Mus musculus: one gene and its partner. The protein of the gene in region 2 purifies or fractionates together with the protein of the main gene of each other region. This does not show direct contact. Links are inferred from orthologs where the notes say so. Each region holds a gene or a part of one and is shown on either strand. Other genes may lie near its edges.

What was found. Proteins that work in one complex are often made in the same cells at the same time.
Region 1: the proteins of Clcn5 (region 2) and Tmem9 purify together in Homo sapiens (co-immunoprecipitation; 3 studies listed by BioGRID and IntAct, with this or other methods). This does not show direct contact. The link is inferred for Mus musculus from reciprocal best matches to the Homo sapiens genes CLCN5 and TMEM9.

Annotation. Positions count from the first base shown.
Region 1 is NC_000067.6:136,030,719-136,035,534, forward strand, and holds the end of Tmem9 (transmembrane protein 9 precursor), read left to right. Parts: intron 1-3,349; coding exon 3,350-3,502; 3' UTR 3,503-4,312; downstream 4,313-4,816. UniProt on the Homo sapiens protein: Transmembrane protein that binds to and facilitates the assembly of lysosomal proton-transporting V-type ATPase (v-ATPase), resulting in enhanced lysosomal acidification and trafficking.
Region 2 is NC_000086.7:7,315,950-7,321,439, reverse strand, and holds the start of Clcn5 (H(+)/Cl(-) exchange transporter 5), read left to right. Parts: upstream 1-2,081; 5' UTR 2,082-2,334; intron 2,335-2,951; exon of another isoform or gene 2,952-3,056; intron 3,057-4,616; 5' UTR 4,617-4,765; coding exon 4,766-4,781; intron 4,782-5,490. UniProt on the Homo sapiens protein: Proton-coupled chloride transporter. Functions as antiport system and exchanges chloride ions against protons. Important for normal acidification of the endosome lumen. May play an important role in renal tubular function.

The DNA of each region.
Region 1 (4,816 bases), on a different chromosome or scaffold from region 2:
GGGAGCTAAGGTCATGGAGAGCCAGACGAAAAGAAAGCCAGGCTCACCGAAGACTGGCCTCCCTTCCTGTCTGTAGATGGATGGCAGTATGTACTAAGAACCCTGGGGGCCCTGGGGTTTGGGAAAGACGGGTCCAGACTGTTCAGATAGCCTCCTCACCCTGATAATAGAATAGGGAGGTGTGCCGTTCAGCAGATACTTCTAGAACGCCGTGGGGCTAGACTGCATAGTGCTTGAGAGTAGTCCTGGTTGGGGTCCCAGCTTCACCACTCACTGCCCTTGCTACTGAGCTCAGGGTATAGCTTTCTAATGGAGTAGCCAGAGGAGCTCTTGCCTCAGGGCCGCTGTTGGGATTGGGCATTAAAGGCTTTTGCAGGCACTGAGCTCGTCCAGAGAGGGGAGCCTCTGGCCACAAGTAACCTGCAGCTACCTGTCTTTGATCTAACTCTGGGGTGAGGTGTGCCTGCTTCTCTGGTTGTCCATTTGATTTCCTCTTGGGAAAATCCAGCCAAAAGCAAAAGCAACTGAGTCCTAAGACAGGAGATCCAGGGGTGTGAACAAGTTCAAATGTGGTCCCATGAAATTAGGTGACCTTGGTTTGCGAGGCAATTTCTCCTTCAGAGTCTAAGTTGTGCAAAAGATGGAGGTGATATTAGCCACTTGCCGTAGGAGTGTGAAGTACCTGGGAAAGAGACCGGTGTATAGTGAGTGGTATCTGCTTGTCAGGGTGACATCAGTCTGGTTACCTGGGGACCTCTAGGGAATTGTCAACATTCATGCCCCACTGTGAGAGGGGCTCCATCCATCCCCTGCCCTCACTGTCCCCCGCCTCCCTGCATTCCTCAGCCCAGACCTGATGGGAGAAGGGAGGCTAAAGGGAAGACTTTCCTTGCTGCCCCACCCTCATCCCCATTCACCTGCCGAGCAGGCAGGCCTGAGGCCATCTGTGGGTCTTCTTAGGGAATAGATGTGGCTACTCTAATACCTTTTAATCAGACTGTCAGCCATGGGGACACAGAGGCTCTCAGCAGCAGCTTTCTCGCACTTGAGAGCTGTTTGCTGCGACTTCACCTGAGCGCTCCCAAGTGGAGCCGTGGCAATGTGGTGAGTTACAACATGCTCCCTTGACACTGCTCCGGCTCTGTCCAGCTCCCACTTCCTCAGACAACCCAAGAGCAGAGCTGCTGCATTCTCACCAGCTCCAGCATGCCCCAAGATGACCCCAGGCCTGCTCTCCCAGTTTTACCCCCAGGCACTCATTAACCAGAGCCCTCCAGGGCAACACGGCCTAGAAATGGGCAGGAGTAGGATTGTGGAAGAAAGCAGCCCTCGCCCCCCCCCCCCCCCCGAAGCTAGACTGGGGTCCTGGGGGGGGGGGCGAGCTGTTACTCAGGCGGGCAGGTCTTCGGTGCCCACCCCTACCCTACAGCCATGCTAAGAGCAGTCTGAGCCAAGCTGCTTTCTTGGTTGGGCCACTTAGGCAGCGCAGCCAGTCTGGGGAGGGGTGGAGTGAGGTGGTGGTGTAGGCCACAGTGATGCTCAGAGGCAGCTCCCCTGACAGTAGTCAACCTGCCTTTCCCCCTTCTCTGCCTCAGTGATTCCCAGCACTGACCTTGAGTGCTTTCTATCTCCAGAAGCTGACCAAGTTTCTGTATTCATTGTGTCCTTGAGACCACCTCAGTCTCCATCCTGTATGAGAGAGGTTGGTTCTGACCCACCTAAGGCCATGTGTCTGGTAGGAGTCAAAGCCAGGTTTTTTTGAGTCGGCTGTGCTGAACTCCCAGGGAGAAGGGCCCTTGAGCTCCGATCTGTGCTTGCCAGTTCTCTTGACAAATGGTTCTCCCCATGACAAACACATCTTGTAGTCACACAATGGTACTTGAGCACATCAGATCTCTAAAGGAATTTTGTGAGACATGACTAGGATTTTTGTTTTTCTTTGGGTTTGCTTCTGGGTTTGGGCATGTTGCTAGAAATTGTCCTACAGCCACAGGCATGGTTAGCTTCTGTCCTGAGACAGCATCTCACTAAGTGGTTGCCACTGGCCTTGAACTTGCTATCCTCCTGTTTCTGCTTCCTGGGTAGCTGGGGTGACAGGCCTGGACCTCACCTGGCCTGCCCATGGCACCCACTCAGTCTTGAGCATGGACTCCCAGGGGACCATCTATAAGTCACCTTAGGAGCAAGTGAGCTCAGGACAAATCGCCCAGCACTGTGCTTCAAGGATAAGGCTATCCCAGCCCTTTGACCCCAGCCTCCTCTCTGCCCTGCCAGCCTCTCTATACCCTCCTGCCCCACCCCACTCTCAAGCTGGCAGCTGCAGTGACAGAAGCTATGCCAGCTCGGGGCATTAGAAGCAAAGTTGCATTTACTGGGCGGCTCTGGGCTTAGAGGGGTGCACTAATCCTTTAAGAGATATGTGGCAGGAGATGAGAGGCGGGGAGAGCTAGGGAGGAAATCCCCACGGGCTGTGGGCCTGGCCCTCGGCTCTAATTCTCCCCCCAGAGATCAGCTCTGGGTCCTGCAGGAAATGCATGGGCTCTGGAGCTTCAGAGGCAGAGGAGTGATAATTAAGAGAAGACTGACGACAGAAGCGACAGAAGGTGAAGTGGGTCTGAGAGCAAAGGGGAAGGGGGACAGGAAAACCAGCAGAGGGAGAGAGAGAGAGAGCAGATCTGCCAAGCATGGGACTGGCTGACTGCTGCAGCTGGCCATGACATGGGAATGCTAGAGTTGAACCCTAACCCTAGACTTTCACCCCTACCAGGCTCTGAAGGATGTCCCATCTTCTCTTTTTCAGGAGAAGCAATCAATCGCTCTCTCTCTCTCTCTCTCTCTCTCTCTCTCTCTCTCTCTCTCTCTCTCTCTGTGTGTGTGTGTGTGTGTGTGTGTGTGTGTGTGTGTGTGTGCGCGCGCGCGCCCTTCTTCTTGTCCCCTGAGCAGTAGGACAGAGAGAGGAGGTGTGCAGTTGAGTAACTGCCCTGTGCATTTGGGTACATAGCTCTTGAAGTCTTGGCCGGTGTACATGAGGTCTTGAAGCCAATATTCAGTCCTTCTCCTGAGACTTAGGAATGGTTAGGGTGAGACCTAGACTTGAGCCAGCTCTGCTGGAATTGCTTGGGCCCCAGAAGATGCTCCTGACTCTTAAAGACACCAAAGCTTTCTGGCTAGGCACACCATTGAGGTCTTCAGATGACCAGGCAAGGCCCTCATGGAGCCCACAGCCCTTGGGGAATTCAGACTTTAGAAGTGCTCACTGGGGTACTTGGTTCCATGCCAGACTTTAAGGATCCAGAGCCCTGACCCCTCCATCCTCATTCAGATCGTTTCCCTTCTTATTCCAATGCAGGATGCTCGCACCATGGCAACAGCCGCTGCGTCCATTGGAGGACCCCGGGCAAACACTGTCCTGGAGCGGGTGGAAGGCGCTCAGCAGCGGTGGAAGCTGCAGGTGCAGGAGCAGCGGAAGACGGTCTTCGACCGACACAAGATGCTCAGTTAGATGGTTGCCATGATTGCATCAGAGACCTGGGCCATGGCTACCAGCTTCTGGGGCTCACTGCAGTCTTCCCTGGGTCTTCCCTTCAAATGCCCATGGCGTTTATCCTTCTCCCTCTCTAGAAATGTACTCGACTGTTATAACGAGGGAGTGTGATTGGGTCTCTGTAGGTCTCTGGGGGGTAGAGGGGAGGGGAGGGAAGGCAGAAGGGAACAGAGACATTTGAGGTGGCCACATGATTGGGTGGAATTCATCCCTCCTGTCTTCACCATTCCTCCCAGCTCCACATCTTAAGGATGCTTACGGGAGACGAAGCTGTGTCATCAAGAGCTCAGTGGGTGCGAGGAAAGTATGATCCAGCGCTCAGCCTTCGCTCTAGGATGCTGTGGTCCCCATTCCCAGTTCCTCCAGTGCCAGTACTTTAGCTTGGCCTAGCCCCAGTCTCAGGAACTGTTGTGGTGCCCCTGAGCCCACAGTCATCTCCAGAGTCCACCTGGAAGCCTGTTCCCCTCTCCTCGGCTCCTGGTCCACCAGTGCATGGCAGTGCCCATGCATGCCGGCATATTCAGCAGCTGTCACCTTACTCCCATCCCAGGAGGCCGTAAGGCCTCCCACCTCTCCCCTGTGACTGCAGCTGCTGAGCCATAAAGTTGGACCATATGACACAAGGCCAATGGGGACCGGAGTACCATGGCTCCTGTCCTTGGATGGTCTCTTGTCCCTGAATTTCATTGTATCATGCATGGAGAGAAATGTTTGTCTTTCTGTTGTCTATACATCAAAGAAGCCATTAAATTGTTTTATTTCTCAAGAGTTGCAGATCTCAAGGGAGATGGAGAGCCATGAGAAAGTGTTCTGCAAATGATCTGGTTAGGTGCGCTGTCCCATATGGGGAACAATACATTTTCCTAGGTGGATTCAGACATAGGCAGCGCTTTGCAAAGCCAGGGTGGACTCTTGCCACCTGCTGAGGAAAGAGGCACAGGCTCAGTAGGGTACTGCCTGTGTGTGTGCACACCGCAAGGGGACAGTAGGTGTCACATTTACTTCACCTTTGAAACTGCACAGTGCCCACCCGATGTCATCCATACCCTACAGGCCCATTAAATGGTGTTTCTTGCAAAATGTCTAAGCAAAACCCAGATGGGAGAAGGATTGAGAGGGTAAGCAAGAAAAATGTGCCCTAGAAGCTTCCAGAGTGGCCACTCAGCAGAGTCCAGCCCTGGCTCAGCCCAGGCCTACATGTGGATGGTGGGAGGTGTCAAGGACTCAGTCGCACAGCAAGTGCCTGTAAGGAGCTGTATGTCGGATCAGAGT
Region 2 (5,490 bases):
GAGATGACCATTTTTTTTCCTGTTAGGTTTTGTATTAAAATAAGCCCAAAACTTCATTGTGTTTGATTATAGCTTTATCTCTGGAAGCTTTGCATGGCTTGGGCTCAGATACAGGTTTTATATTTCCAAACCCTTAACTTATCCAAAGTAGGCATTCAAAATTCACTGAGCATACATGGCCTTACTGAATTTTGCTCCCTTGTGTTAACATTGCTGATCTGCCAGGCAAGATGTGCCTACTGGTGTAATAGTGGCATGTTGATGGCCACTTTCTGATTGAAACCTTTATCACAGGAGAGAATTTTATGCCTGATACTGTAACTCCATGTCTGGGTCACTCCTTGGGTAGAACCTGCTATTTTAATTTAGCTAAATGATTGCCTTCCAAATATTAGTGTCTATAGCTATAGATCTGGGCTGTTCTCAACTTTGGTCTGAGGAGCTTCTTTTTGCCATGAAACACAGAAACTCACAACTGGCCAAAGTTCTGAGAAGAGACTGAGTGCTCAGCCCGAAGTCTAAATGACAGAATTCTCAACCCTACCCCCACCCCCAATTAGGCCTAAGGGCCATCTTAGAAGAGGAGATTGAAAGAATGCAGGAGCTGGAGGATGCACAGGAGTGCTGTAAAAGACTGTCCTTTGTCCACAAGGTCACTGACTCCTGAACAAGACCAAGCCACCAACATTCCTACAGAGATGGGAGAGGTGATATCCAGACTCTATTTCTTACTGAGATTCCATTGGTAGTTGATAGCTTCCCACCTGGGGAGAGAGAATTGCTCTTCTTTGAGGGTGTGACCTCTGGTAGGTTTTTCCTGGTCTGTCGAATGGTCCCACACTCTTGCAAATATGGGCAGCACTAACTGGATTTATTGGGTTACTAACACAAGAAATTTGAAATTATGAGGGGAGGTGTTGGGGGAAATATGGATTTCTTGGGGAGAATTGGAGGGAGCAAATGGAAGCGTATAAGATTATAGTTTATTGTATACTTGTATAAACTTCTCAAAGAAAAAAAAAGTCTACGGGTGTGGCACAGGTCTACAATCCCAGCGCTTGGGAGGCAGAAGCAGCTGAGTATCTGTGATCCCAAGGCCAGTTTAGTTTACATGGTGAGTTTCAGGCATCCAAGGCTAAATAGTGAGTCCCTGTTGCAAGAAAAAAAAATACTATTTACTACAGTGGATTTTGAATTTGAATACTTGGCTTCTAGGTAGATTACTTGTGTTGATGATGTGGATTCCAATCTTAGTTCTTGCAATAAATTAATAGCTGCACTCCATTTGTATAACCTGTTCATTCCTCACAAGGATAGGATAGTTCTTCTAATTATTCGGAATGGCTTTGGAGACAGAGAGACCTCAGTTGGAATCTGAGCTTTATTTTGTGTTTTGTTTGTCTGTTTTTGAGACAGCATCCTGCCTTCAAACTTACAATATAGCCTAGGATGACCTCGCATCGATTCTCCTGCCTTCAACCTCAAAGAATCGGGATTAGAAGTATATGTCACCTTGAGTTTTCGCTTGACAATGATTAAATTGGCAATAATACCTATAAGTAACTGCAGTATAGATTTCCCTGTGTTGGATTAAATTGGCCCCTGCAAGCACTACTGTATTTGATCACTATTCTTATTGCTACTACAGTGTGAGATTGGAAAAGCTATGTAACCTTTCTGAGCCTCTGTATTTTTATGAGGGAAAACGGATAATGACACACTCTTCATGAGTTCTTGTGAGCATTAAATGAAACGAATAAAGTATATTAGCCAGAACAATGCCTGGCATAAGGGAGGCTTAAATTTGTGGTCTGATGTCCGCTGTGGGCAAGATACTCAGGATAAACAGTTTGTTCTAAAGACAAAAGCAAAACCAAGGTAGGCAATCTGCAAACAATGAAACCGAAGGGAGCATTGCTTTTTTTTTCCCCCAAATGCAACTGACACGCCCCGCATTTGGGTTGGATCCGCCCAGTCCTCATTAAATATGGCTGCAAGCCCGACTACCCTATTGCGGTTGCGCATGCCGAAGCTCCTCCCAGCTGCTGCTTCTCGGTGGCGCTTTCCCCCCTGGCCGGCCCGAGGTGCCTGGAGCGGGCCCTCCGTGGCGCGCATGCGCAGACGCCGTCTTGGCAGAGCTAATACTCCAAGGCGCCTGTCACATGAGCCTCGCTCCCGCTCCGCTCCCCCTCCTCCCGGCTGGGCTGTGTGAATGAAGCTCTGCCGGCTACGTGGGGCGCTAGCTCTACTCGCCGTGTGGAACGCCAGAGCCGACTGAGCGCGCTGCCCACCGCCGGTGGACACGGGCTCCGCCGCGCCGGACCTCGGTGACAGGTAAAGGCAAATGGGCTTCCCTTCCCCAACAGGTCCTTCCCGGCTCACCGGCCGCCGGCCCACCCGAGGAGCCCCCCGGTACGGCGAGCAGGGAAGAACGCTCGCCTGCCACCGCGGTCCCCGGAGCTGGCGTTCCCTCTGCCCGGCCGCCACTGAAGGAGGTGGTGGACAGCCTGGTTCCTGCCAGAGCGGGGCGGCATCTCCTCGGCAGCCCAGCCCTGTTCTGGGGAGCAGGGTCCCCAGGCTGCCGATCGAAGTTTCCTTGCCAAGCGGCGCCAAGCCCACCCAGCTTTGAAAGCGGGGAGCTTGGCTGCCCGCGTCGCTTCTCCAGAGGACAGGGCTGGGGCGGCGTTCGCTGGGAAAGCGCAGCCGAGGCCAGGTTCGGCTTGCTCCTGCTTTGGACCCGCCACAGGTTTCTAGGGCTTCTTAGCGAAGTGCAGTCCAGACGGTCTGGGCGAAGAAGTTGGTGTGCGTTTTCGCCCTTTGCCGCCCAATGCGCTTAAGCTGCTGCTTCCAGAGGTTGGAGCCCCGCGCTCCAGCTCCTTTCCAAGTAATGGAAAGAAAGCTTTAGCTTTAGCTTAACTTTGACGTGCTTTTTACCTTTATGAACGTTTCAGAACAAATCAGTTGACTGAAGTTGGACGGGTGGCCCTGTGATAACGTCAGTGGAAGCTGCGCCGAGTAAATGAGGGGAAAGCCAGAAGGTGAAGCATTAAAAACCAGTGAGACTCCCCTTTACACATACTTCATAAATGTATTAGTAATTTCCCGGGTTGAATTTCAGAGCTGTTAAATTTCCCCTTGTTCCACGACGTGCTGATCAGTAAGTACTTCTTAACAGTAAAATAGGAGGGGGATGGGGAGTCGACTTAAACTGAGCCATGTTCCAGGTAAACTCATTGGAGCACTTTTCCCTGGTGAATTCATCCTTAGAGTTTAAGCTCTCTTTTTCTTGGATTTCAGGAGCCTCTCCTCATCCAAAGCCCAGTCTTTGTTGGAGTTTTGAGGACTGGCGCACACACGAACCCTTTTTGTTCTTTAAAGAAAAAGAGGTCATTAAAGAGGGCCAACACTATTCTCCAACTAGTATTAGCCTTAAGCGTTTGGGCTTTAGCTTTCCCACTTCAGAGTTGCACACGTTGGTTATGTAAAAATCAATGGAAGTAGGAATTCACCTCAGGACAAAAAGGTGAGGGCCTTTCTGGAAAAAAATACAAATTAGCTTTTATGCCCAATGAGGGAAATAAATTATTAAAAAACTTGTTTAAATGTACTGGGTGCTTAATATATGAAACTTCCAAACCAAACTAAGACACCCCCTCCCAAACTGGTAATCACACCCGTTAATTTTTCCTTTGCTTTCTAACTCCTGTCATATAACTGGAAACTATTGTTTTGAGACTGAATTTAAAAATTCCAAATTGATCAATACCGTTGTGTGTGTGTGTGTGTGTATGTGTGTGTGTGTGTGTGTGTGTGTGTGCGCGCACGCATGCTCATGGGTGGGAGCTTAGCTTTATATAGTCACTTCTTTCTTCCCATCTTTACTGGAATTCTTGGGATTGAAGTCAGCCTTGAGCGCCAAGCTCTTTTTAACTGAGGAGCCTTCTCAACAGCTTTGGGTTTGAAAATGCATCTCTGGGAGTTAGCTAACTTACTTTGATTGTATTAATATTAATATTCTAGTTTTATGTTTTTCTTTGTCCTTGACTCATTCCCTCATTATACAAACAATAGAATATGTTCACGATAGGAATTTTGCAAAACGAGGAAAGTATAAAATAAAGTGGAACGGAAGAGCCAGTCCCCCCCTCCCCAAACTGGTATCATCGCTTCTTACTTTTTATTACGCTCCCTTTTTTGTCTGTAAGGTTTATTTTAATACTTTATTCACAGAGTCTTCTGTGTTTTCTACTGAGGTGTTCATGTAACACTGCACCTTTATGGACAGAGGAAGAATTCATGCACCGGAGTGTGGAACTTTAAGATAGGCTATCACAATTCACCTCAACCAACCCTTTACTCAACCCAGGATGAGTGTCCAGCCCCATTTACAGCTCCAACCCCAGTGATTCACACAGGATCCTACAGTAGTGAATGACAGTGTTAACTGATGGTAGAGCTCCACTCTCTCACCAGCAATACCTCACTGCTGCGAAGGGGGGAAACTTGACGCTGCTTATGTATGCTGTCTTTGAAAGAGAGGTTGCGGGGGCAGGGGCTCAGTTTCAAGAATTTGAAATTGTTCTCTTGCAATTTTTATTCTTCTGTTTTATTTTCAGGTTTGGGGCCTTAGAATCTTGCAGAAAGCAGAATCACACACTTGCATCTCCATCTATACCCTCCTTTAAGTCCCCCTCCAAAACTTGGGGGGGGGAGCACTGGAAAGCTCTGAGCCTGTGACCCCAGTGTGGGAGAAGATAGGTACAAGATGGCCATGTGGCAGGGTAAGAAATTAACACTTATTCCTCTAACTGGTTTTTCCTCCTGCTGTCTTCCACCCCCACCCCACCCCCAGTGCCAGTAGCTGCCAGGCAGCTGTTTCTTTAATTTAACCCTTTCTTTACCAGGGTGGTGCACATTCATTTAAGAGAAGCTAGAATATTCAAATGATTCTCAAGTGGATGTTAGTGGGAAGCATTGAGAAGAATTTCCTTCAATTAAATATGTATTTCTGGGGATTATTTGTGAGGGGATGATCCATTTCCCCCCTATTTGTGGTTTTCATTTGTTTCAATCAAATTCATTTTGTAAGATTCTTGGAAATCGGGGGAGACACACTTTGCTGCCTCTCAAGCTTCCTCTTGTCAATGAAGACTTTTGTGGGCGGGGCGGGGGCGGGAGCGGGGCGTGGCATTGAATAGCTCATTGAATCTTATGTGTATATTTATATTGGCGCTAGAAGGAAGATGCTCATTTTCATGTTATAACGTACCCAAGAGCCAAGCTCAACAATATTTTAGGTGATAAATTATATCTCTTGTTGCGAGTTTCTATCTCATGCAAAGTTGTTATTTTTAGTGAGGTTGGACATCAGTCTCCAGGATGATCAGAATTTTCATTAGCATCTTATGATGACTACAGAAGAAATGCGGGTTTAAGAAATGATTGACAAAAACTACCGAACTATGTCTGTGACCCACAAAAGGTTCAGGA